Macaca mulatta: one gene and its partners. The protein of the gene in region 3 interacts with the protein of the main gene of each other region in a pairwise test. Links are inferred from orthologs where the notes say so. Each region holds a gene or a part of one and is shown on either strand. Other genes may lie near its edges.

The links. The genes of interacting proteins can lie anywhere in the genome.
Region 1: the proteins of PPP1R18 (region 3) and CARD9 interact in binary tests that used the Homo sapiens proteins (3 or more experiments, as listed by UniProt). The two-hybrid records come from large-scale screens. The link is inferred for Macaca mulatta from reciprocal best matches to the Homo sapiens genes PPP1R18 and CARD9.
Region 2: the proteins of PPP1R18 (region 3) and FSD2 interact in binary tests that used the Homo sapiens proteins (3 or more experiments, as listed by UniProt). The two-hybrid records come from large-scale screens. The link is inferred for Macaca mulatta from reciprocal best matches to the Homo sapiens genes PPP1R18 and FSD2.
Region 4: the proteins of PPP1R18 (region 3) and KASH5 interact in binary tests that used the Homo sapiens proteins (3 or more experiments, as listed by UniProt). The two-hybrid records come from large-scale screens. The link is inferred for Macaca mulatta from reciprocal best matches to the Homo sapiens genes PPP1R18 and KASH5.
Region 5: the proteins of PPP1R18 (region 3) and CCDC102B interact in binary tests that used the Homo sapiens proteins (3 or more experiments, as listed by UniProt). The two-hybrid records come from large-scale screens. The link is inferred for Macaca mulatta from reciprocal best matches to the Homo sapiens genes PPP1R18 and CCDC102B.
Region 6: the proteins of PPP1R18 (region 3) and STX11 interact in binary tests that used the Homo sapiens proteins (3 or more experiments, as listed by UniProt). The two-hybrid records come from large-scale screens. The link is inferred for Macaca mulatta from reciprocal best matches to the Homo sapiens genes PPP1R18 and STX11.

The regions. Positions count from the first base shown.
Region 1 is NC_133420.1:6,136,435-6,140,506, reverse strand, and holds the start of CARD9 (caspase recruitment domain-containing protein 9), read right to left. Parts: upstream 2,801-4,072; 5' UTR 2,728-2,800; coding exon 2,317-2,727; intron 1,805-2,316; exon of another isoform or gene 1,723-1,804; intron 1,151-1,722; exon of another isoform or gene 1,003-1,150; coding exon of another isoform or gene 850-1,002; coding exon 651-849; intron 214-650; coding exon 76-213; intron 1-75. UniProt on the Homo sapiens protein: Adapter protein that plays a key role in innate immune response against fungi by forming signaling complexes downstream of C-type lectin receptors.
Region 2 is NC_133412.1:73,933,326-73,937,568, reverse strand, and holds the start of FSD2 (fibronectin type III and SPRY domain-containing protein 2), read right to left. Parts: upstream 2,801-4,243; 5' UTR 2,531-2,800; coding exon of another isoform or gene 1,919-2,530; 5' UTR 1,682-1,918; intron 1,350-1,681; exon of another isoform or gene 41-1,349; intron 1-40. Other genes in the region: WHAMM (WASP homolog-associated protein with actin, membranes and microtubules), read left to right, coding at 1,919-2,530.
Region 3 is NC_133409.1:152,366,911-152,370,054, forward strand, and holds the end of PPP1R18 (phostensin), read left to right. Parts: intron 1-501; coding exon 502-712; intron 713-2,624; coding exon 2,625-2,644; downstream 2,645-3,144.
Region 4 is NC_133424.1:61,819,352-61,823,397, reverse strand, and holds the start of KASH5 (protein KASH5), read right to left. Parts: upstream 2,801-4,046; 5' UTR 2,680-2,800; coding exon 2,598-2,679; intron 2,483-2,597; coding exon 2,378-2,482; intron 1,854-2,377; coding exon 1,667-1,853; intron 1,193-1,666; coding exon 1,128-1,192; intron 1-1,127. UniProt on the Homo sapiens protein: As a component of the LINC (LInker of Nucleoskeleton and Cytoskeleton) complex, involved in the connection between the nuclear lamina and the cytoskeleton.
Region 5 is NC_133423.1:11,949,062-11,953,271, reverse strand, and holds the start of CCDC102B (coiled-coil domain-containing protein 102B), read left to right. Parts: upstream 1-1,410; 5' UTR 1,411-1,488; intron 1,489-4,210. UniProt on the Homo sapiens protein: During interphase, forms fibers at the proximal ends of centrioles to maintain centrosome cohesion. During mitosis, dissociates from the centrosome following phosphorylation to allow centrosome separation. Contributes to CROCC/rootletin filament formation.
Region 6 is NC_133409.1:49,411,134-49,415,169, reverse strand, and holds the start of STX11 (syntaxin-11), read right to left. Parts: upstream 2,801-4,036; 5' UTR 2,706-2,800; intron 2,281-2,705; exon of another isoform or gene 1,974-2,280; intron 1-1,973. UniProt on the Homo sapiens protein: SNARE that acts to regulate protein transport between late endosomes and the trans-Golgi network.

The DNA of each region.
Region 1 (4,072 bases), on a different chromosome or scaffold from region 3:
GCTCCTAGGGATGGGGGCTGGGCAGAGGACCCAGCACCACTGCCCGCCCCCACCACCGCCTTCCCCGTCACTCACCGATGATCATGGAGAAGACACGGGCCGGCTCCTTGCCCGTGACCTTCTTGTACAGCTGTGGGTAATAGAGTTCCAGGCTCTCGAGGAAGGCCACGTAGCCCTTGTGGCCGGTCCGCTGCAGGATGTCCAAGAGCACGCCTGCGGGCCAGAGGGGCCTAACTGGGGGCGGGGCACAGGCGAGGCAGAGGGCTGGGGTGGGTGGGCCCGGGGGCAGGGACAGGTGGAGGCTGGGATGCAGATGAGGTGTGCTGTGGTTTGGGTCGTGGATGAGGCACCCTGTGGGTCTTGGTACTAGGCTGGGGACAAAGTGCTGTCCACCCATCCCTTGGCTGTCTCAGGAGCCCCCGCTGTGGTGGGAGTCCCACTGCCCCTCTTGGCAGCACCGAGCTGGCAGGAGAGGCTGGGGGATAGGGTGGCCATGTGCCAGGGTTGAGGTTGGGCCTCACTGGGAGGCCAGGGGCAAAGCCAGGCGGGGCTCTCCTGGGGTCGAGGGTCAGGGTGGCAGAGCGTGCAGCCACCTCCAAGCGGGCTCCTTGGTTGGGTTTGGGACCTGGGGCCTGCGGGGCAGCACTGACCCACTTTCCGTTTGCGGATGACCAAGTTGGGGTCACTGAGCACCTGCTCCTCATCGTCGGGGTTCAGGACCTTGCACTGCCGCAGGTAGGGCGTGATGCGCGAGGGGTCGATGACCGACGTGAGCATCACCCGGAAGCCCTCCAGGACGCTCCAGCACTCATCATCGTTCTCGTAGTCCGACATGGCCTCGCAGGCAGGCTGGGGGGTGTGGGGCAGCCGCTGAGAGTGACGCCGGCTCCTGCCCCCACCCAGGCCCGGCTCCCGCTCCTTCTCAGACGCTGGGCCAGGGCTCTCGTCAGGGCTGTCGAGGGGGTCAGCCCAGGGGCATCCAGGAGAGGTACCCAGCTCCATGTCCCATCCCCATGCTGGATCCCCCAGGGAGGCGGCAGAGACACAGTGACCCGCTCCCCGCCAGACCAGCCGAGGGCCCCTCCACAGCCTTTCCCAGCCCCTGCTCCTGCCCCTTGGCCATCCGTGTCACCCAGATATGCAGCGGGGGAGACACAGATGGGGTCTGAGAGAGGAACTGCCTCCACGGCATGACTCGCCTCTGGCCTCCGCCTCCTGGACACTCCCACCACGCCCTGGAGCCTACAGGGGCAGCCACCTCCATGGGTGGAGGAGCTGTGGGCACCTGCCTGGCACTACGGCCAGCCCAAGCTGGGTGAGAGCAGGTTGGCCAATGACCCTCCCACTAGGGCAGCAGCTGGGGGAGCCGGTTCTGGCGGAACTTCCCCATTTCCCTGACCGACGCCTGCTCACATCCCGCGCTGTGCCCTCCCTCCTCCATGGCCGGCTGTTGATGATGCAAGAGTGGCCACCCAGCCCTGCCCCAGCTGCCAGGGTCGCTGCACTGGCCGGGAAGAGCTGCCCACAGGAGCGTGCCTCTGTCACTCCCCGCCGGCCCCGCAAGCTGGGAGGGGCTGTCGGTGTTGCCCTTGGCTGGCCAGGAGTGCTGCTGTGCTGTTTTCTCCAGGTTCTTAGGTGACGGGCACCCGTCAATCTCTGGACTCTTCTCCTGCCCCCGATGAGGCCCGACCCCCATCCCACTGGCTGAAACAAGAGAACTACCCATGTTGGGACCAGCCCAGCCACTGCTGTCCCTTTCTGCCAGCACGGTGGAAGCCTCAGCCGCTGAAAGCCACTCCCTCTGGGACTGGGGCAAGGCTGGGAACAGCCACATGGTCCTGCCTCCCACGCAGGTCCCCGGTCCTCAGCCTCCAGCCCCACTGGGAAATGCTGGTTTCCTGCCTAAAGGAGCTGGGTCACTACTCCTGGAGACACTTGGTCTTTTGAAGTGTTTGGTCTTGGTCTTTTGAAGAATTTCTCAACTTCCCACTGTACTTTGTCACCCCATTCAGGACAGTTTTGACAGACAAGGGGCTGAATAGAAACACCGGCCACACAGCGGACAGTCCTGGGAACACTGGGCCCCTTTCCTGCCTCCCCAGCCTGAAATGCAGGGTCCCACCTGCCACCGTAATGCCACTGAAATGAACATGTCTCCGCCCAGTGGCCATGAAAGGGATGGGGCAGCGCGGCGGAGGCTGCCTGGCTGCCTGTGGGAAGCCTCATGCTGCTCTGCGGGGATCAGCGCCAGGATTCTGAACGAAGCCGGCGCCGACCTTCTTGGTCACTTTTCAGAAAAGTACCAGACCCACCCACCTGAGGGTCTTCCAAGGAGCCACCTGCACGGCAGACGCACCAGGAGCCTGGGACGCGGAGCCTCGGGGAGATGCTGCCTGGGGCTGCAGGGAGGGAGGAGCGTGCCGGACGCCTGTGCACTTCCTGATGGCTTAACTCCACAGTCCCGCCAGTCCTCCCACAGGGGGACAGTCCCTGGTGGCCTGCCTTCTGATTCGTGCAGCCCAGGAGGCCCCGAGAGGCAGACGGAAGTGGAAGTCCTCTGCCCTCCACAGGAAAACTGCTCTCAGCCCTCCCAGCCTGGCCGGGGGCCAGGGGTCCTGAGAATGCCCCAGAGGCCCAGCCCGGGCACCTGGCAAGTAGAAGAGACAGCAGAGACCCCCAGGAGGCTGGACGAGGCCAGACCGCACCCAGCCGCTTTGACCTGGTCATAGGTTTCTGGAGGCTTCTTCAGGAGGGCATGCTCTGCCCTGTGCGGACACCCTTGCCCTCGCCGGCATCTCAGGACAGCGGGGCAGGGCATGTGCAGGGGGCACACAGCCACACAGCATGCCCAGCACACGCCTTGGTCATGAAAGGGCTGCAGCCCACCTTATGGAGCCCAGGAGGCCACTGCAGCCTGCCAGGGGCCATGGCACCGGCCACCACCCAGCTGCACACGGGGGAGAAGCGTCCCTTTCAGAAGTGTCGCTCGGTATCATTATCCTTGTCACGAGGCATCCTTGCTCTTCTCCAGGATGCACGTGAGGACTGAGGCCACTCCCAGGGTCCCCCAAACCAGCTTCAGAAGCACCGGTGATGGCAGGGCACAGCCCGCCCCCCATCCACAGACAACGGGCAGCAGGGTCTGCCCTGAACTATGCACTTCAGCGTGGGGCTGCTGGAGCCTCATCCCTGCAGGCTGGGGAGCCCCCAGGCCCCGCCTCACCGGTAAAGCTGGTCGAACCGAGTTGCCACCCAACAGCTTCGAGAAGGGGGCTGCCAGGCTGGAAGGCCAGGAAGCTGGTGCGGAGCTCGCCTAACCGTTCCCAGCCCCCGGCCCTCAGGCCTGACATCACGCAGTGAGGAGTGGAGTTAGGGGTCCTCTGGGGCTCTTGGGAATGCCACACTCCAGGCTGGGCCCCTCACCAGCAGCATGAGCGAGTGTGCAGGCAGGAACGCCGTCCTGGGCCCTGCTGGGGAGTGGGCCCGAGCTGGCACCAGGCCCTCATGACCCAGTGATTCCCCAGCTTGTAAAACGAGGGACCCCAGTGATTTCCCTGTGGTGTCCGTCCTTAGGAATTAACACACATACCATGTTCTCTAACCATGTCGGAAGCTAAAAATCAGTAACAGGTATCTGGAAAATCCCTAAATATTTGGAAATTAAATAATATACCACTAAATAACCCACAGGTCAGAGTGGCCACCAGGAGACTAGGCACCAGTTGCTAGAGAACCAGGCACAGCAACACATGCTCAGGAGCGCGGCCGGCCATGGGACCGTCCTGTCTGCCGGGTGCCGAGGGCTGAGGCCCCACGGTGCTTCCAGTGAGGGAGTGAAACCCAGAGAGCAAAGGGCCTGGGGGCGCTGCTGCCACAGAGACGAAGGAAAGGGAGTGAGGGGACAGACGGAGAAGATGGGGGCTGGTCTTATGCCAAGAAAGGCCCACGCAAAAGGACAGTGAAAGTTGTGGGGGCTGCCATCGTGTCTGGGTAGCCAGGTCACCTGTTCCAGGGAACCCCCTGGGTCAGCTGGGGCGGTGCGAGGGCTGGCAGCCATCTGGGGAGGGTGCCG
Region 2 (4,243 bases), on a different chromosome or scaffold from region 3:
TCTTTCTTTCTTTCTTTCTTTCTTTTTTTTTTTGAGACAGAGTCTCACTGTTTCACCCAGGCTGGAATGCTGTGGTGCAATCTCAGCTCACTGTAACCTCTGCCTCCTGGATTCAAGCAATTCTCATGCCTCAGCCTCCTGAGTAGTTGGGATTATAGTGCATGCACCACCATACCTGGCTAACATTTTTTTTTTTTTTTTTTTGTATTTTAAGTAGAGACGGGGTTTGGCCATGTTGGCCAGGCTGGTCTCAAACTCCTGACTTCAAGTGATCCACCCACCTCGGCCTCTAAAAGTGCTGGGATTACAGGTGTGAGCCACTGCACCCAGCCACCCACGACACTTTATAATGAGAAAGACTGACAATTTCCTCTTGAAAAACCAAATAGATTAGAAAACTAATAGAAATGATAACACAGTATAAAACAGATAGTAAAAAGATACAATGTGAGGAATATACAAGAAAGATATTTAAAACAGACTGTTAAAAATCATAAGTAAATCATATTAGTTAAAACAGTATATTAAAAGTAGGGGAAAATCAATCACTTCAGCTAAAAGGTTATCTCTCCAAGAAGACTGAGTGACTGTGTCCCAGGGCCCAATCCCCAACCCTCACACTTGCAGCAGGCATAAAAGGGGAAGGACCTTCAGACAAAGGCACCTTTCCACCTTCAAGCTGCATTCCACAGAGGTTCCTAGATTTCTTGAGGTCATTTTCAAGGCAGAGAGATGTCCTAACTAGAGCTTTAGCTTGGCCCTGATTTTTTTGTTTGCTTATTGTTTACCCTTGGGGACAACAGCAAGTACAAAATCTGATTCCAGTTTTTCCCAGCTCAAAACCTTCACACACGCTTTCACTTGTTCCCGAATCAACACCTCACAGGCCTTGCTTTGGCAAAGGGCTCCTGATCCCAGCTTCCTGGCATCTGCCTCCTTTCCTCCCCCCATTACCACCACCTGTCTCAGTGCACTCCCAGGATGGGAGCGGACATGGACTGTATTTCTCAGTCTACACTGCACATTTCCTAGGCAGAGAGTAGGGCCGTCTTGGTCCTTGATGCAAGAACAGATCTAGCTCCACCCTGACATGTAAACTGGATTTCCTGGTATCTCCTTAAACAGGCCTTCAGTAGCCAGGTGGTCATGTCGAGCCCGAGTGTCGGTGTATCTTAAGTTTGTCTGGGCCTCTGTTTCCTTAACTCTAAAGTGAAGAGTTAGAACACAGATTGTATTTAAACACCCTGGTTGGGAGCTGCAGTGCCCTGAATTCCTCCTCTTACTCCACCCCCTCAATACCGACACACAGCCGACACTCAATAAAAGTTTGTTGAATTGACAAAAATAAATTTGTGGCTTCTTGCCCAGTACTTGGCACTTAGAGGCCCTCAATAAATGACTATCGAGTTTATGTTTCATCTCCCCAGCACATTTGTGACATTCTTGAGGGCGGGAACCATGTACTCAATAGGGCCCTGATGATAGAAAAGGAAATCAGCTTGGTCCCTGTTCTCAAGAAGTTCACAGTTTAGTGTGGGAGACTAAGACAACAAGTCGCCGATTCAACAGATATTTTTCCAACGTCCTTATGTATTGGGTGGAAAAGGTGAGGCAAGAGCTGTATTTCCCAGACTCCTGAATGGGTTGCGAGATGATTGACTCCTGAGGGACACCGTCTCACCTTTTCATTGGTTGTCGCTGGCCCTGTCGTCTATCACCCAACCAACCCCGAACACCTCTTGTAAGCCCCACCTCCGGGTCAGCCAATTAGAGGTGCCGGGGGCCAGGGCGCTGCTGGGTCACTGACGCGGTTTCGATTCCAGTGAAAAATGCTCGGGTTCGGACTGTCCCGTGACAGGCGGTGCGAGCAGGCCAGGCCCTCGCCCGCCGAGCCCTAGGACCGCTGCTGCCGACTGCCATGGAAGACGAGCAGCCCGACAGCTTAGAGGGCTGGGTGCCTGTCCGGGAGGGCCTCTTCGCCGAGCCCGAGAGGCACCGGCTGCGCTTCCTGGTGGCTTGGAACGAAGCGGAGGGCAAGTTCGCTGTGACTTGTCACGACCGCACCGCGCAGCAGCGACGGCGGCGCGAGGGGGCCCGGCTGGGGCCCGAGCCCGAGCCCAAGCCCGAGGCAGCCGTGTCCCCGCCCAGCTGGGCAGGCCTGCTCTCGGCCGCAGGGCTCCGCGGCGCGCACCGGCAGCTGGCGGCGCTGTGGCCGCCTCTGGAGCGCTGCTTCCCGCGGCTGCCGCCGGAGTTGGATGTGGGCGGCGGCGGCGGGGCCTGGGGTCTGGGGCTCGGGCTGTGGGCTTTGCTGTGGCCGGCGCGCGCGGACCCCGGCGAGGCGGCGCTGCAGGAGCTGTGCGGGCAGCTGGAGCGCTACCTGGGCGCGGCGGCCGACGGCTGCGGCGGCGCCACAGTGCGCGACGCGCTCTTCCCGGCTGAGGGCGGCGCGGCCGACTGCGAGAGCCCGTGCGAGTTCCGGGAGCGGGCCTTGCGCGCGCGGTGGGTCGAGGTGGACGCGCGGCTGCGCCAGGTAAGAGAGGCCGGGCCGCCGGCGTTCGTCCCCGCTTCCATGGCCTGGGACCCTGTGGGAGGCTCCCCCGGCGCCGAGAGCCCTGGCTGACGGCTGACGGGGAGGAGCCGGCGGGCGGAGAAGGCCGTGGGCTCCCCGGTGCCCTCACCTGCGCGGGACCGCTGCGGGAAACCGGCGGTAGCTCCGGGAGGGCCTGCAGAGAGGACAAGCGAAGTTAGAGCCTAGTGTACTTGCAGCTGGGAGCTGGGCTAGGCCCCCAACCTTTGCCCTGAAGATGCTGGCAGAGCAGGATGTTGCAACGGGAAATGCCAGAAATATGCAAGCAAAACTGAAAACAACCCATCCATGTAGGAAAGAATAACACGGACTAAATGTAAGCAATTCTAAGTCTGTGTATGAGGGAACGTCGCGAATGGGATAGAAGAAATGGCTTTTAGGAGATAGAGTGTTTTGTTTTAAGTAATATATACTTAGTCAAATGGAAAGCCAGCAGAAAGTGAACTTTATTCATCAGTTTGGAATAACCGCATTAGTGCCCTTTTAAGCTTGAAAGAGGTAGTTTGAGAGAGAGTAATTATTTGAGTGGTAAACCTACTGAACCTAAGGGGATGGGGAAGTACAAGTTCATAGAAGGGTTTAGGAGAAAATATGGCTTCTAAATCCACACTCACAGTTTACTAAGGAGAGTCAGGCTGGAGTCTCGGCTCACTGCTGTTATTAACCTGAATGGTTTTTTTCTGTGCATTCTTTTGAGGAAGGGGAGGTGAAGAGAAGAATTCAGCCTAAGCTAAATATAGAATAAGCTTTCTAAATTAAAATGATTTTATAAAAGGAGCTCGTTAGTGGGGTCATTTTTGTACTGTGGGTTTTATGTGTAAATATCTACACACCCACTTCTCATGTGTTGATTTCACTTTATGAGGAAGCCACAGGGGAGTTTCAGGCCAGTCAGCGTTTGATCTTCAACTTTATCATTTTCACCTTAGGATATGAGGTGAAAAATGGTATCATTTTGAATCAGACTTGTTTTTTACCCACTCGGTTTCTCACAGAGATAGGTGGTTTCTCCTTAAAATCGAACATTTATATGATGTATTTTACTGTAGTTACTATCAGAAAAGTTATAGTTTTCCCAAATTTAAGTTCACTCTGGGGTACTATAGCATGAATGTAGTTCATACTGTTGAGCTAGCTGTTCACATTAGTGTAGTTCACGTATTTATTTGGAACTTAAAAATGAGGGGTTGGGAGGGGAAGAAGCTTCAATTCAAAACATGTCCAAATATATAATTTTAATATTTATATTTAGAATAGAAAAGCAATTGATTCTAGAATTAGATCAATTGCTAGTATTGCTAGGATATATAAAATGAAGCTGAATGTTTTAACTCTGAAAGTTTTCTGAGTAGTCTAAGAAATAAGGCTGAAATGCATCACTTGCCTTAAGTTTACTTTTGCGTGTGTCTTAATTTTGTGCAGCGAGGCTTTCACTTAAAAAAAAATAATAATAATATTATTACCTGGATAAAAAACTACAGCTGAAAGTAGATCACTTTCTCCTTAAGCAGAAGGATGGAAATAGAAGAATTTAAGAATGTATTAGTTGAAAAAAATCTATATTATTTGATTTTATTTCTCTTCTTGCGGGAGTAAAATAATTTACTACCAAGTGAGTCCACCTAGATTATACACTGTTCAGTTTATTTTCTGCCT
Region 3 (3,144 bases):
CAGTCTGCTGGGCTCCTCTGGGAAGTTTACTCTTTCCCCACTGGCCAGTCTGCTGGGCTCCTCTGGGAAGTTTACTCTATTGCCTCCAAGGTGCCCAAAGACTCGGTTCTGATCACAAGACTAATCGCCACGTATTTTAATTTCTTTTTACCCCTCTGCCTCCCACACTCGAAAGAGCAGGGACCTTGGTCTTATGTTATTCACTTCTGCCTCCCAAGCCCCTGCCAACCTACAGGGCAAAGTCTGATGTTTTGAAATTATATGATCGAAGAAGGAAACTCTGGGATTGGAAAGCCAGTGTGTAAAGGAAAACTGGATCCCAGAGTGGATGGGAGAGAGTGAGGGGGGGCGCCTAAGTCCAACCCCCACCCCCACCTTTCCCCCGCCCCACCTGCTCCCTTGCAGACTCCCCCCCCCGCCCCCCCGCTTTCTCCCCCTCAACCCCCACGGGCCTCACCCCTGCTGACCTTGCCTCCTGCCCCCTTTTTCTCCCTCCTTCAGCTTAAGATCTCCTTCAGCGAGACAGCCCTGGAGACCACGTACCAATACCCCTCCGAGAGTTCGGTACTGGAGGAGCTGGGCCCGGAGCCTGAGGTCCCCAGTGCCCCCAACCCCCCAGCAGCCCAACCCGACGACGAAGAGGATGAGGAAGAGCTGCTGCTGCTGCAGCCAGAGCTCCAGGGCGGGCTGCGCACCAAGGCCCTGATTGTGGGTAAGCGGAGGCTCCGCCGGCTCGAGAGCGCCCCCTGCTGTCAGAGCTGGCGCTGCGGTCCAGGAGAGAAGAGGAGGGAGGATTGCATGTAGGCGCTTGGAAGGGGCTTGGTGGTCCTCTGGTCCAACCTGCTCCTTCAATAGATGGGCAAACTGAGGTCCCGGGCAGTGAAGTACACATTGAGTCTTCAAGTTTCAAAACGAGAACTCTTCCTGAGTACCGTAATCTGGTCAAAACCACAGGGTGGGTCGACAGGCCTGAGTTGGAATTGCAGCTTGTCTCTTAATTGTGTGATCTCAGGGAAACCATCCGATATCTGGCTTTAGTTTATTATTTATGAAATGAAGTTAATAATAACTACCTCCTGTGGCTCATGCCTGTAATCCCAGCACTTCGGGAAGCCAAGACGGGTGGATCGCTTGAGCCCAGGAGTTCAAGACCACCCTGGGCAACATGGCAAAATCCTGTCTCTACAAAAAAATACAAAAATTATCCCGGTGTGGGCCAGGCACGGTGGCTCACGCCTGTAATCCCAGCACTTTGAGAGGCCGAGGCGGGCGGATCATGAAGTCAGGAGACTGAGACCATCCTGGCTAACACGGTGAAACTCCATCTCTACTAAAAATAAAAAAAAATTAGCCGGGCGTGGTGGTGGGCACCTGTAGTCCCAGCTACTTGGGAGGCTGAGGCAGGAGAATGGTGTGAACCTGGGAGGCGGAGCTTGCAGTGAGCCGAGATCACCCCACTGCACTCCAGCCTGGACAACAGAGCGAGACTCCATCTCTAAAAAAAATAAATAAATAAAAATAAAAGAATTAGCCAGGCGTGGCAGTGCAAAGCTGTGGTTCCAGCTACTTGGGAGGCTGAGGTGGGAGGATCGTTTGACCTCAGAAGTTGGAGGCTGCAGTGAGCCGATATTGCACCACCCACTGCACTCCAGCCTGGGCAATAGAGGAAGACCCTGTCTCGAAAGAAACAAACAGGCCAGACACGGTGGCTCACGCCTGTAATTCCAGCACTTTGGGAGGCTGAGGCAGGTGGATCACTCAAGGTCAGAAGTTCAAGACCGGCCTGGCCAACATAGTGAAAACCCATCTCTACTAAAAATACAAAAATTAGCTAGGCATGGAGGTGGACACCTGCAATCCCTGCTACTCGGGAGTCTGAGGCAGGAGAATCACTTGAAGCTGGGAAGCAGAGGTTGCAGTGAGCGGAAATGATGCCACTGCACTCCAGCCTGGGCTACAGAGTGAAATTCCGTCTCAAAAAAACAGAAACCAAAAACTACCTCCTAGAGTTGTAGAAAAGATTAAGTAATTTATTTTATTTAATTAATTAATTTATTTATTTATTTTGAGATAGCGTCTCCCTCTGTCGCCCAGACTGGAGTGCAGTGGCACAATCTTGGCTCACTGCAACCTCTGCCTCCCAAGTTCAAGCGATTCTCATGCCTCAGTCTCTCAAGTAGCTGGGATTACAGATGTGTACCATCACACCTGGCTAGTTTTTATATTTTTAGTAGAGACAGGGTTCCCCCATGTTGGCCAGGCTGGTCTTGAACTCCTGACTTCAAGTGATCCTCCCGCCTCAGCCTCCTAAATTGCTCAGATTACAGGGGCTCCAGGCCAAGATTAAGTAGTTTTTGTGAAGCACCAAGAGCCACAGCTGGATATCAAATTACTTAATCTCTCCTGGAGTTATGGTGACATTAAACAGTTATGAGGATGCTTGGCACAAAATCCGAGCTAAATGAGTGATGGATGTGGTTACTGATGGTAACGTGCTTTAGATGTGGAAGATATTATAGGACTTCCTGCATGCCAACTGCCCTTCAATTTGTGTGTGGGGGAAGGGTGGGCAGAAGGCAGAGGCTCTCACTCATTCTCTGTCATTATTGCCCCCTCTCCCACAGATGAGTCCTGCCGGCGGTGACCATCTTCAACATAGGGATATACCTCCTTCCTTCTTATAACTGAAGATCCTGGATCCCGGAAGATTCAGGGCAGCAGACCCTGATAATGAGCCTGGCAGGGAAGGGCAACAACCAACATCTTGTAACTTGCTTTCCCCACCCTGTTTCTGGGGGCAGAGCCAATTGCCCAATTTCTACCCTAATCCAAAGTCCCTGGTGTGGGTGGGGTTAAACGTGCTGGTACATCCTGGGTGATCTAAGAGTGAGCGCCAAGTGCTGAGAAGGAGCACAGAACTCCCTGGAGGGTGGAGATGGAGCACCTGCCCTCCATGGCAGGGTACACTCTCCCCACAGCCTTCCTCCCCACCATCCCGTGGGGACTCTTGGGATTTAAGCACTCATGTCTCTCGAGGCCCAGAGCCCACTCCATTTATAGGCACATCTCCCTCATTTCCTAGGTCACTGCCCCTTTGTTTACAGCTCCTGCCTCCTCCTTGACCACAGCCTGGTTTACAAATTC
Region 4 (4,046 bases), on a different chromosome or scaffold from region 3:
CCTGAGAAGCTGGGACTACAGGCCCCGCCACCTCACCTGGCTAATTTTTTGTATTTTTAGTAGAGACGGGGTTTCACCATGTTAGCCAGGATGGTCTCAATCTCCTGACCTCGTGATCTGCCCGCCTCGGCCTCCCAAAGTGCTGGGATTACAGGAGTGAGCCACCGCACCCGGTCCATGACCACTTTTTTATGAAGCACCTCCTATGTGTGAGGTCCTGGGGATATAATGGTGAGCAAACCAGCCAACTAAACCCAGGCACCGGTGGCTAACTAGATAATCAGATTTCCTTTGCAGGTAGATGTTCCAATGGAAAGGCCTACAAGTCTAGGAGTGAGCATGGGAAGCAGGGAACTCTAGCCAGGGGCATACCAGGGCTTCCCCTTTGCCAGAGGTGTGAAGGATAACGGCCTGGAGCGGTGGCTCACGCCTGTAATCCCAGCACTTTGGGAGGCTGAGGCAGGTGGATCACCTGAGGTTGGGAGTTCGAGACCAGCCTGACCAACATGGAGAAACCTCGTCTCTATGAAAAATACAAAATTAGCTGGGCGTGGTGGCGCATGCCTGTAATCCTAGCTACTCGGAAGGCTGAGGCAGGAGAATCGCTTGAACCCAGGAGGCGGAGGTGGCGGTGAGCTGAGATCGCGTCATTGCACTCCAGCCTGGGCAACAAGAGCGAAACTCTATCTCAAAAAAAAAAAAAAAAAAAAAAAGGCTAGGGGGTTGGGGAGTGAGGAATGGAGGGGAACAGCCTGAGCAAGGGCCTGTGCTGGGCAGAAGTGGGGCACATTCGAGGAAGGGCAGCAAGACCAGTGGGCCTGCGAATGCCTGGACTAGAGTGAGGAGGGGGTGATGTTAATGATGATGGAGCAGAGGTAGGTGGGGCCTTGTAGGCCTCTCTGATAGGGCTGGTGTGAGGAGGAAGAGTTGGAAACCATCCTCTGAAGAAAAAAACCCCAAAGCTCAGGGAAGGAAGGGACGGAGGACCTAGAAAGTCACACTCACAGCTCTAGGCTACAGTAAAGGTCCCTGGTTCCCACCCTATCCCTTGCTCTGCCCTGAGTGGTAAGTTCCCACACTGTCTGACCCAGGGCCTGCCTGCTTCATTCTATATATAGCAATCTCACCAGATGGCAGTTGCTGGGAGGTCAGGGCTCCCTCGAAGGCGGTCTCCTCTTCCAGCTCTAATCCCCTGTATCAAAGGGATGAGGCTTAGAGCCCCACTGTAGCCGCCCCTCAGTCCTCACCAGCCACAGGCAGGGGGATTGCAGGTGGGAGGAGGGGACCGGGTCAGGTGAAAGCTGGCACCACAGGGTAGGAGGGTGAGGCCAGATGGCAAGTGCCTGCGGCCAGATGGAAAAGCAGGAGGGGCAAGGAGTGGGTTGGGTGAAGGGATGGCGAGGGACCTCTGCCAGCCCCAAGCCCCTCCCTTCTCCAGCCCCATTTTATTTGTCTCCCAGACCCCCTCTGCCTCCTCATCCAAATTATTTTGTCCTCAGACTCCCTATCTACCCCCTCTGAATCCCATCTCTTCATTTTTCTCTCCACAGCCTCGTTCCAAACACAGTAGGTCCTTGGGCCTAAAGGATGCTGGCTCCAGTAAGCAGGTATGAGGTTAGATCTTAGGAAGGACTTCCCAGAGGAGAATGAAGGTGTGGGGACTCACCCGTGTAGTTGACAGGCAGCAATCCAATCACGCATGACAACCAGGAAAGTGTCCAAGTCCACAGTGGCGTTAGGGCCCTCCCCATTGGGGTCCAGGCTGTTGGCCAATGTTTGGAGGCGTGCATCCTGGGGGCCCTGGCCTGTCACCGCCTCCAGGTAGGCCAGCACCTGGGTCACAGCCACAGTGCCTGGGACAGAGCATGCAGTGAGGGGGTCTGGGGCAAGTGGGGAGTGGTGGGTATGGACTGGCAGCAGCTTGGGAGCAGGATGTCACTGGCTAGGCTGGTGGCACTCCTGCTCCATAGCCCAGTGGAGACACACTGGGCAAGCCCTTTCCCCTCCTCTGAGTCTACTTTTTCACCTGGAAATGGGGCCCAGTCATCCCCCTATCACAAGGTGAACCAAAGGGGATGGACATGGGGACAGCACCAGCCATGCCCCACTCCACCATGGTGGCTGCCTCCCTCCCCCATCCCACGACCCCAAAACTCTACCCTCTTCCATCAATGTCCCCCAGGTTTTCCTCATTCTAAAAGGCCTTCACTCTGTTATCCACTTTCTTCTTCCTGAAGCTTCCCAAAATCACCTACTTTGTTCCTGCAATACCCCCAAGAGGGGCCCTAGCCCAGTCTTCTCCCTGAGGCTCCCCAGTTCCCAGCCTCCACCCCTCTCCCGCCCGCGCTGGTCCCTAGCACCCCTCCTGCCCCACCACCTGTCCTCTGAGGGTCACAAGCTTCGAATGTGGAGTTGAGTATTTGCTCCTCCAAGCTGACCGGCATCCCCAGCCTTGTCTCCTCAGGCTGCTCCCAGAGGTACACTGGGGAGACAAGAGGGTTCAGCTCACCAGTGAGAAGAATGAGGAAGGAAGAGGGGTGACCCCAGGTCCTCAGCCTCCTGGGCTCTGCAGAGGGGAGGGAATTCACTCAGAGCACCTAGAGTTAGGGCCAGCGGGGAACAGCAGGAAGCTTCAGGAGGGGGCAACAACGTAAGGGTCTCTGAGTTTCTTCCCCCCATCTTTCAGACCAGGAAGTCCCCCCGGCTGTCTTTTTGTGTCCAATTGGCTTAGGAGCCCAGAGAAGGACACTCTGAGATCACCCTTTCCTCCTCTCCTCTCCAGCCTCCCAGGCTGGACTCAGAAAAGGACAGGGCGGGGGAGGGCAAAGAAGAGAGGATTCTGGGAGGAGCTGAGAGTGAAGGGGGGCCCAGGAGCCAGGAACAATCCAATAATGCGTGGGCAGCCCAGATCGATCCCGCCTGCTGCATCTCCGGTCTCCCAGCCCACCCTGGGGACCAGGTCTCTCTCCTCCCTGCATCCCTAAGGCGAGGCTGGCATCATTGGAGCCCATGGCCGGGGGCTGAGACATGAAGGGATGGGGTAAACCAGGCAGGGTGGGCAGTGAGGGAATGGCTATGAGCTGGATCAAACCATATGCGTGTGTCACATAGACCTGGGTGCAGAGTCCAGCTGCACATCTGTGGGCAAGTCTGTTCTCTCAGAACCTCAGTTTCCCTACTGGTAAAATGGGGGGTGGGTGGGTAGAGTGATCCTCCTCACCAGGGCTGAGTTAGCTCTGTGTATGTGAAGCACACATGTGTACACACACACACACACACGTCCTGGGGTTTATTTGTCTACTGTTGTAGCCACAACACCTGCACATAGTGGGTGCTCAACAAATGCTCCATGACATAGGAAGAGATCCTCAACTGCAGAAGCCACTGGGACTGGCCCAGCCTCCCTCCCAGGGCTGGAAGTGACCTTCTAGGCTCCCTGCCCTGGCCTTGAACAGCTGGGTGCAGCAGCTCACTGAGCACAGGCTGCAGGACTGGGTAGATCCAAGGGGTAACTAAGGCTTGGCCTCAGACAAGTGGCGGCACTTGGGGCAATGGACTCAACTTCTCTTGGGCCTCGGTTTCTTCCTCTGGAAAATGGGGTTGGTGTTACCTCTTTCCTAGAGAGAAAATGAGATAAAATCTAGAAGGGCTTTGGCAGAGGGCCTGGCATGTGGTGGGGACTCAAGAATAGAATTGAACACTTATTGAGCATTTAGTAGGTGCCTGGCCTTTTCTGGGCACTTTACATGAACTGTCTAGTAGCATATTAATAATCGATGCTATTATAATCCCTACTTTACAAATGAGGGGACCAAAGCATAGAGAAACTAAGAACTCAGCAAAGGTCACCCTGTTTAACATATGAGTCAACTTTCTCATCCCTCTAGCTCTTCCTGGGTTCTTCGCAGTGCATGACATTTACATTCCCTCTGGCTTGAACCCACGCTCCTAGGTTTGGCCCTTGGGAAGGGGCGTGTGAACTCACAGTTAGGGAAGACCAGGGCTTTAGCCCCAGTCTGTTTTCCTCCTCTCGCTGTCTTTTTTTC
Region 5 (4,210 bases), on a different chromosome or scaffold from region 3:
ATTTTAAATATATATATGTATACTCACGATTCATCTAAATCTTCTACAAATCCTTTACAGACGACCATATCAAGTAAAACAACTGGAAAAAAAAAAAAAGACAAAACGTACACAATAAATGCTGATTATTTGGCTCATACTGTATAAGCTTAGTCATCTTTGAGGTGTTTTTGACCTTTTACAACCTACCAAAAAATTCATCACTGATACATCCCAGGGTGCAAATGATGCAAAAGCAAAAGTAGTTCATCCATTTAATAAATAGTCTGTATGCAACCACATGGTGACCGGCCAAGTTCTAGGTAAGCCAATAAAGCTAATATACACAGTTCCTTTTTCCTCATTTTCACTCTCATCTTACTTCTCCTTTTTACCATTCCATCTTTTTGGAATATAGACAGCATTCTTCTATACTTCTTTTGCTTTAATAGCAATTATCTCTTCAGTAAAAACTCCAAATGTCATTCAAAATATTTACCCCCAAATAGAAAGAAAGTCGAGCTGTAACTCTAATACTTATTACACGGCCGTGTCTGACACAGAGTGGATTCTAAAAGGTTAAGTGAGCGGACCCCAGTGAGAATGAGGGCACTCCGTGCTGACGGGAGGCAGCTGAGAACCGCTGACACACACTCAGGTCCTTTTCACACCGCACAATCCCGGCGGCCTGACCCTGATCTGTCCTCGACCACCCTCTCTGAGCACTGGTGGTAAAAACCCTTAAACATAACAAGACTCGGAACCTAAAGTCAAGACAAGATCTGGTCGTTAAGGTGGGACGGCGGCATCCTTCTTGCCCATCAAAGGAGTAAGCTTTACTGAAACTTCCTGCCACAATGAGAAAAACACAAACACAAGGCAGCGCGCCCTTCCCACGTCCAGCACTGGTCCCGCACAGCAGCGGCGGAAGGACCCTCAGGTGTCCGCTCCTTCACGGCCAGGCAGGGCGGTGGGGCGGGGACGGCAGGACGCTGCCGGGGACCGGGTGGGCATCTCCGCGGGCCCCGCAGGCCTCGCCCCAGACCCGAGCCCAATCCCGGCCCCACGGCGGGGCCAGGTTCCGACCGCTGCGCGCCCATTACCTGTGGCGCAGAGCCGCAGAGCGGCCCAACTCCTCCACGCTGCCATGCCAGCCAGGGAGAGCTGCAGAAGCTGACTCTGTGCAAAAGAGGGATAAAGACACTGGGGTTCGCTGCCTGCCCGCCCGGAAAGGGAAGCAGACCCCACCCGGAGCGGAAGAGAAGCACCGCGCTCAATACGGGGGCGGGACTAGCCGGCCTCGTTAACCTCCCAGCACCCGGCTGGTCTCTAATTCTGGCTATGAGGGGGAGTACGGCGCCTGCGCGAGGAGGGTAGCGCCTGCGCAGTCGTGTTCTTAAGAATGCTTTGCGCCCCCGGCGCCCCGCCCAGCCCAGGAGCGTGGGAACCCTGCTTAAGGGCTTTACTAGGGACAACGGTGGTTGTTCACTGGGGCGAGTTTCTGGGAAGGTGAGTACCGGTGAAAGTTACGCTGAGGGTGAGGTAGGCTCCGACGACGCAGTTGCAGGTTGAATATTGGCACATCATTTACTTGCTACTCCCATGCAGTAAATGCACCTGTGGGTTTTGATGCTGGATCAAATTCCTGGAAAGAGGCGCGCATTAAGACTGTGGATTGCTGAGCTGCGCGACACTCCGTATTTTTCCAAAACGTACTTGTAATATTCTTTCAACCTGTTTGCATAATGGGACATCTCTTAAATGCAGCAAGCTTTAATGCATTTTTGCCAAAGTAAGGATTGCCTCTTTAAAAACTTTCTCTTGAAACTTGAGAACATGAAGTTAAGCGTAGGATATTTTTTGATGACTCTTTTCTGATTATTTTGGGACTAAATAAATAGTATGAAATATTTATATTGCTACCTGTTTTTTCTTCTACACGACAATGATTTGTAAAAACCATATACTTTCATGAGACGGTTACTGCAGCAGTCACTACTTCCGAATTAGATGAAATTTTTATGGGACATAAGGTACCAGAGAATTTAGATCAAACCAAATTTTGAAAACCTATGACAGCAGAAGGGGGATATGATGTCAGCCGGTTCACCTTAGGTTCAAAATTCCAACAGGCCGAAATGTTATAAAACGTTGTTATTCCTAGTGACTGGAAGATTAAATTGCACTGTAATTGAGAGCAAGCCCTAAATGTCACCCCCTTTGTGCATACAGCATGCACAAACGCGAGCCCTCTGCAGATTCAATTTTTCTTTTTGTTTCTCTTTTCTTTTCTTTCTTTTTTTTTTTTTTTTGAAAAAAGTAGACTAAAACGTAAGAGGACAGTTGAAGTGATGGTAATGTTCTCGCGGTGGTGGAACAGCTTTATAATAGTACCATCGCCTCGATACTCTTATACAGAAGCTTTTCTACTTTCTTGGCAAGGTCTCTGAATGACCCATATTCAATTTTTTTTTCATTCTAATGTATTTCAAATTTTTCTGTCTTCCACATCATGCAAAATAAAATAATATCTTTTTATATTTGCGTTACAGTTTAAGTTCACATGTGGAGAACAACGAAAACAGGTTGACCTAGATTTGTGCTCTTCAGTAGTGTAGCCACTAACCATATGTCGCTATTGAGCTTTCGAAATGTGCCTAGTGTGATGAAGTAACTGAATATTTAATTTTAATCTCAGTAAACTCAAAAACTGGCACTTGATTCAGCTATTGGAAAGTTTTTTTAATATGGTTGGAACAACTGAGGTATGTGAATCTACTTTTTCAACTGTAAACTTTATGAAATCTAAATACTGATCAAGTCCCAGGCGTCGGTGGCTCATGCCTGTTATCCCAGCACTTTGGGAGGCTGAGGCAGGAGGATTGCTTGAGGTGAGGAGACTGAGACCAGCCTGGTCAACACAGGGAGACCCCATCTGTACAAAAAATTAAAAAATTAGCCGGATGTGGCCTGGCGCGGTGGCTCACGGCTGTAATCCCAGCACTTTGGGAGGCTGAGGCGGATGGATCACTAGGTCAAGAGATTATGACCATCCTGGCTAACACAGTGAAACCCCATCTCTACTAAGAATACAGAGAATTAGCCAGGCGTGGTGGCAGGCGCCTGTGGTCCCAGCTACTTGGGAGGCTGAGACAGAAGAACGCATGAACCCAGGAGACCGAGCTTGCAGTGAGCCGAGATTGCACCTCTGCACTCCAGCCTGGGCGGCAGAGGGAGATTGTTTCCAAAAAAAAATATCAGCTGGATGTGGTGGCACACACCTGTGGTCCCAGCTACTCCAGAGGCTGAGGTGGGAGGATAAGTTGGGCCAGGGAAGTTGAGGTTGCAGTGAGCTGGGATCCTGCCACTGCCTTCCAGCCTGGCAACAGAGCAAGACCATGTCTCTATAAAATAAATATCAATTAAATATTTCTGATGAAATTAGAGAGGTTGTAACGAGATATACTATAAATGTAAAATATACACTGGATCACTGGATTGGGAAGACAATATAAAACTGTAAAATGTCTCAATATTTTTGTACTGATAATATGTTATAATGATTATAGCTTAGATATGAGTTAATTAAATTATTAAAATTAATCTCACATGTTTTTATTTTTAAGTGTAGCTACTAGAAAATTTATAATTACATATGTGGTTTTGCATTATATTTCCGTTGCACATCACTGATCTAGGCAACGTGAAAATGATCAAAATAATGCATTAATCTGAAAATGATTTAATAAACCAATAAACTTTTTAGGCTTTTTGTTCAGAGAACATGCTAAATTTCCACATGCTAAAACATATTCTGCGGTGAAAATTTTAAGTGTTTTTTTCTGCTTATCTACCTCAAGTGGTGATTTTTTTTTTGAGATTTAAAAGATTCTACTATTTTGACAATATTTTTAAAAAGACTTTCAGATAAGCTACACTTGTACAGGTATATATATATATACCTTGTGTATTTTGCATACATATTGCTGTAGTCTAAATGTGTAACCCAAATTTCATATGTTGAAACTTAATTGCCAATATGATAACATTAAGAGGTGGGGCCATTTGGGCATGATTTAATCATGAGGTGGGACCCTCATGAATGTGATTAGAGACCTTATAAAAGAGATTGAAGGGATTGTCTTAGACCCCTTTTCCCCTTCAACTTTAAGCCATGTGAAAACACAACAAGAAGGTACCATCCTGGAAGCAGAGAGCAAACCCTTATCAG
Region 6 (4,036 bases), about 100 Mb from region 3:
GCCTTCTTTAATGTCCCATCTGCAATATGACAACAGTTTCCAAGGTGTCTCCCTAAAGTCAATGCCACTGTCATCTAATCTAAGATTTTTTAAATTCCAATTTTTGTTATAATTTTTTAAACACACACCTGACAATATCATTCACTTGTTCAAAGGGCTCAGTACTATAAACCCTCATGGGGCCTTTGTGATCTGGCCCTTCCTGTCTCCCCAGCCCTCGCTCTGTGCTGTCACTAAACAGGCTGGAGTTTCCTGAATGTCCAGTGCTGTTTCACTTCTCTATGGGTGCTGTTCCTTCTGCTGGGTCACTGAGCCTTCCACTTGCCTGCCAATTCATCCTCCTACATGAAGGTTCATTATTTCATCAATAAACACTTTCCAACACTTCTCATGAGTCGAGCCTGGGACAAGTTCAGGGAGTACAATGCTGAATGACACTTTCCAACACTTCTCATGAGTCGAGCCTGGGACAAGTTCAGGGAGTACAATGCTGAATGACACACTCAACCCTTTGTCATAGAAAAAGTAACTTCAGGGCTTTCAAAGGAGGAATAAAGTTTGGAAATTAAGGTAAAGTTGTCTGAAATTTAGCAGTGTTGCCTTTATTAGTTGGATATCTTAGCAAACTGTGGAAACTTGGAAACCTTGATACTTGGGCATCAAGTTCAAAAGTGTCTCAGCAGATTTCAATTGTAACAGTAAACTGTGATATGGTAGATTTATTCATTTTGGCTCACAAGGCTATAATGTGCTAAAAAACATTGATTTGAACTACAAAAACAATGATCAAAAACTTGCTTCAATATAGTGTTACAAATTTATAAAGTATTAGGCAGGGCATGGTGGCTCACATCTGCAATACCAGCACTTTGGGAGGCCAAGGCAAGCAGATCACCTGAGGTCAGTAGTTCGAGACCAGCCTGGTCAACAGGGCCAAACTTGTCCCTACTACAAATACAAAAGTCAGCTGGGTGTTGTGGGTGCCTGTAGTCCCAGCTACTTGGAAGGCTGAAACACGAGAATTGCTTGAACGCAGGAGGAGGAGGTTGCAGTGAGCCAAGATTGCACCACTACACTCCCGTGTGGGGCAAGAGAGTAAGACTCTGTCTCAAAAAACAAAACAAAACAACCTATTAATTAGTCATACCATTTCCTAAAAGTCACGCTGCTAACTAAAGGTGACTGCAATGATCTAGGGATGGTAATCTGCTGAGTTTACTCTTTAAATACACTGGAACCCAGCAGATTGAGTTATATTGGGACAGAAACTTCACTCTGGGTATAGATTTACCCTAGCACCTTGTCAGCAGGATCCTATTATTCATGGTTGTACAAGCAAGGTTCAGGGAAGAGGCTGGCACAGAGAAAGTACCTGTTAACTGTTGTTTGGGACTGAATTCAGCTCAACTCAGCTCCAGTAGAGATGGTGCTCCCTTCTCTACCGTGTTGAGATAGTGTGCAGTCCCTTCCTAGGTGCTGCTACCCACCACAGTGGGGCCTGTCAGCTTCAACTTTTAAATTTCTCTGCTCCCGCTGGGACCCACCCGCTTCAAAAAGCACCATGTGGTTTTGGCATCAATTTAGTAAACACACACTGTCTGAAATATTTTGATTTTAGAGAGTTACAATCACCACATTAAATGATACATTTCTACTATTCAGTGAAAATGGTAGCAAAATGGTCATTGAATAATGAAATTAATTTTCTCCTGGGCTTCTGAGGCAAAGCACATGATTTTAGTGGTTATCTTAAATCAACCCAGTGACCTTTACTGGCATGTTGTAACATCAGGCGCCTTAGGAAACTGAAAACTCAATCGTCACTTCCCATACCACTGCCCCAGGTCAGCAGGGCAGGCATTTCACATCTACAGTCTCATTTTAAATACAGACAGAGCAAGCCTCGCTTTTCAAAAGTTCATTAACAAAGTCTCACAATTAAGAGAGCAGCCCTGTGACTCATTTTTGGATACCTGTAAATAACAGCTCCTCCCTTTGCTGAGAAACGGCTGAAACAAGCGCGTGAGAACCACAGGAAGTAATACAGATCTCAGCTGGTGTCAGCGGAGTCTAGAAAAAGGCAGAATTCCCTCTCAGGACGGCGTGGTTCTCGCAGGCATTGCCACTACTTCTCTCCATTTTTCTAAAACAAAGTCTTACGTGGGCTGCGAAGGGACTGCTCCAAGGCTCTATCAATTTCTCCGTCTTTCTTGGCTACTGAGTGACACTGCCAAGTTCAAGTCAAGAAGTACCCATTCTGGTGTTTTTGACACAGTCACCCTAATAGGAAGTGAAGAGGTGATAACACAAAAACACTTCAGTCTTTCGATTTAAAATAAAATAGTCTTAGGTGGACACTTTAAAAAGGCAGCCTACCGACAGGTATCCCTAAAATAATTCCTGTGAAGCACTAAATCCTAAATCCCTCAGCCTCTGAAATTAAAAGTAATTTTAAAAAATCATTCCGCTTTATATGAGGAACCCAATCCTGTGTTTCCGAAGGTGCCCAGAGGCGGCGTGAGGACCTGCGCCAGATCCAAAATCCCAACTAAGGCGCAGCCGCGGGTCCCGAGCCCAGACAGTGCCCCCGCCCGCCTCCCGGATCTCTCAGCGCACGGGGAATAGTCAGGAAGAGAAATGGGGGGTCAGGAAGAGAAATGGGGGGTCAGAAAGAGAAATGGGGGCTCAGGGAGAGAAAAACAAACCTGGACCCGGAACGAGAGCGCGAACTGAGAAGCCTCTCTCCCCGCAGGGCGCGCGTCCCCTGTGGGCGCCGCGATGGGGAAGGAAACCTGTTGCGCGACTCCCGGCGGCTCTGCTCCCGGCGCCTCCTGCGGCCGAGGCTGGGCTCCTCCACAGCCGCCCGAGCTCCGCGCCGCCGCGGCCGCATCTGGGCGCCGCCGGCTCAGCCCCCGCCGCTTAGGAAGCTACCACAGCTGGGGACCAGGCCCCGCCCCGGGATGACAGCGCCGGGGCGCGGCAGCAGCCGGCTCACAGAGCACGGGTTCCCGCCCCACCCGGAGTCCGTGCGCTCGGGACCGCCCGGAGCCGGGGACTCGCTCCAGCCCCTCCCGCGAGCCCCGGGGCGTTCCCGGGGGCGGCGCAGACCGGCGCAGGGAGTGGGATGTTAGCCGCCCAAGACACTTCCTCCGCTCATCCTCTGGTCCCCAGGTCAGGGAGTGCGATGGACTTTCCCCGGGAATCCCCGCTGCGCCGGTGACATTTGCAGTCCGGTGCGTTTCTGCGGCAAGGACGCTGGAAGCGGTCTCTGAGCGTGGGTGTGGCTGCGGAGGCTGCAGCAGGTCCTGCATCCGCGGGACCCTCGAGGAGGCGGGCGAGGAGCCTGCGGTCACACAGAGGCCGAGCACAGCCTTCCCAGAACCCGGCCGGCCAACCCATCTCCAGTCGGCCTCAACACCCGCCAGGCTCATCATTCCCTGGATATCAACTGAGCGGCCCCTTGTATTCCCAGGATAACACCGCGCTCAAAAACACTGCCAAGACCCTCCCTCCAGGTCCCGGCACTTTAACGGGGAGAGATAAACATAAAGTGTGGATTGTGTCAGGTGATGGTAAAGCACCTTGAAAAACAAGGCTGAGGCTGAAAAGTAAGGAAGTGATACTCAAGAAAGGAAAAATCGGGCCGGGCGCGGTAGCTCATGCCCGTAATCCTAACACTTTGGGAGGCCGAAGGGGGCGGATCTCTTGAGCCCAGAAATTTGAGACCAGCCAGAGCAATATGGTGAAAGCCTATCTCTACAAAAAATAAAAAAAAATTAACTGGGCGTGGTGGCACGCGCTGTGAGCCCAGCTACGCGGGAGGCTAAGGTGGGAGGATCACTTGAGGCCGGGAGGCCAAGGATGCAGTGAGCCGAGATCGCGCCACTGCACTCCAGCCTGGGCGACAGAATGAGACGCTGCCTCAATTGAATGAGAAGAAAAAAAATAAAAAATAAAAATAAACGAATCCTGTCTTGATGGGAGAATGTTTAAACACAGGAACCACCTGAAAGAGCTCCCAGTTGCCAAAGATGGA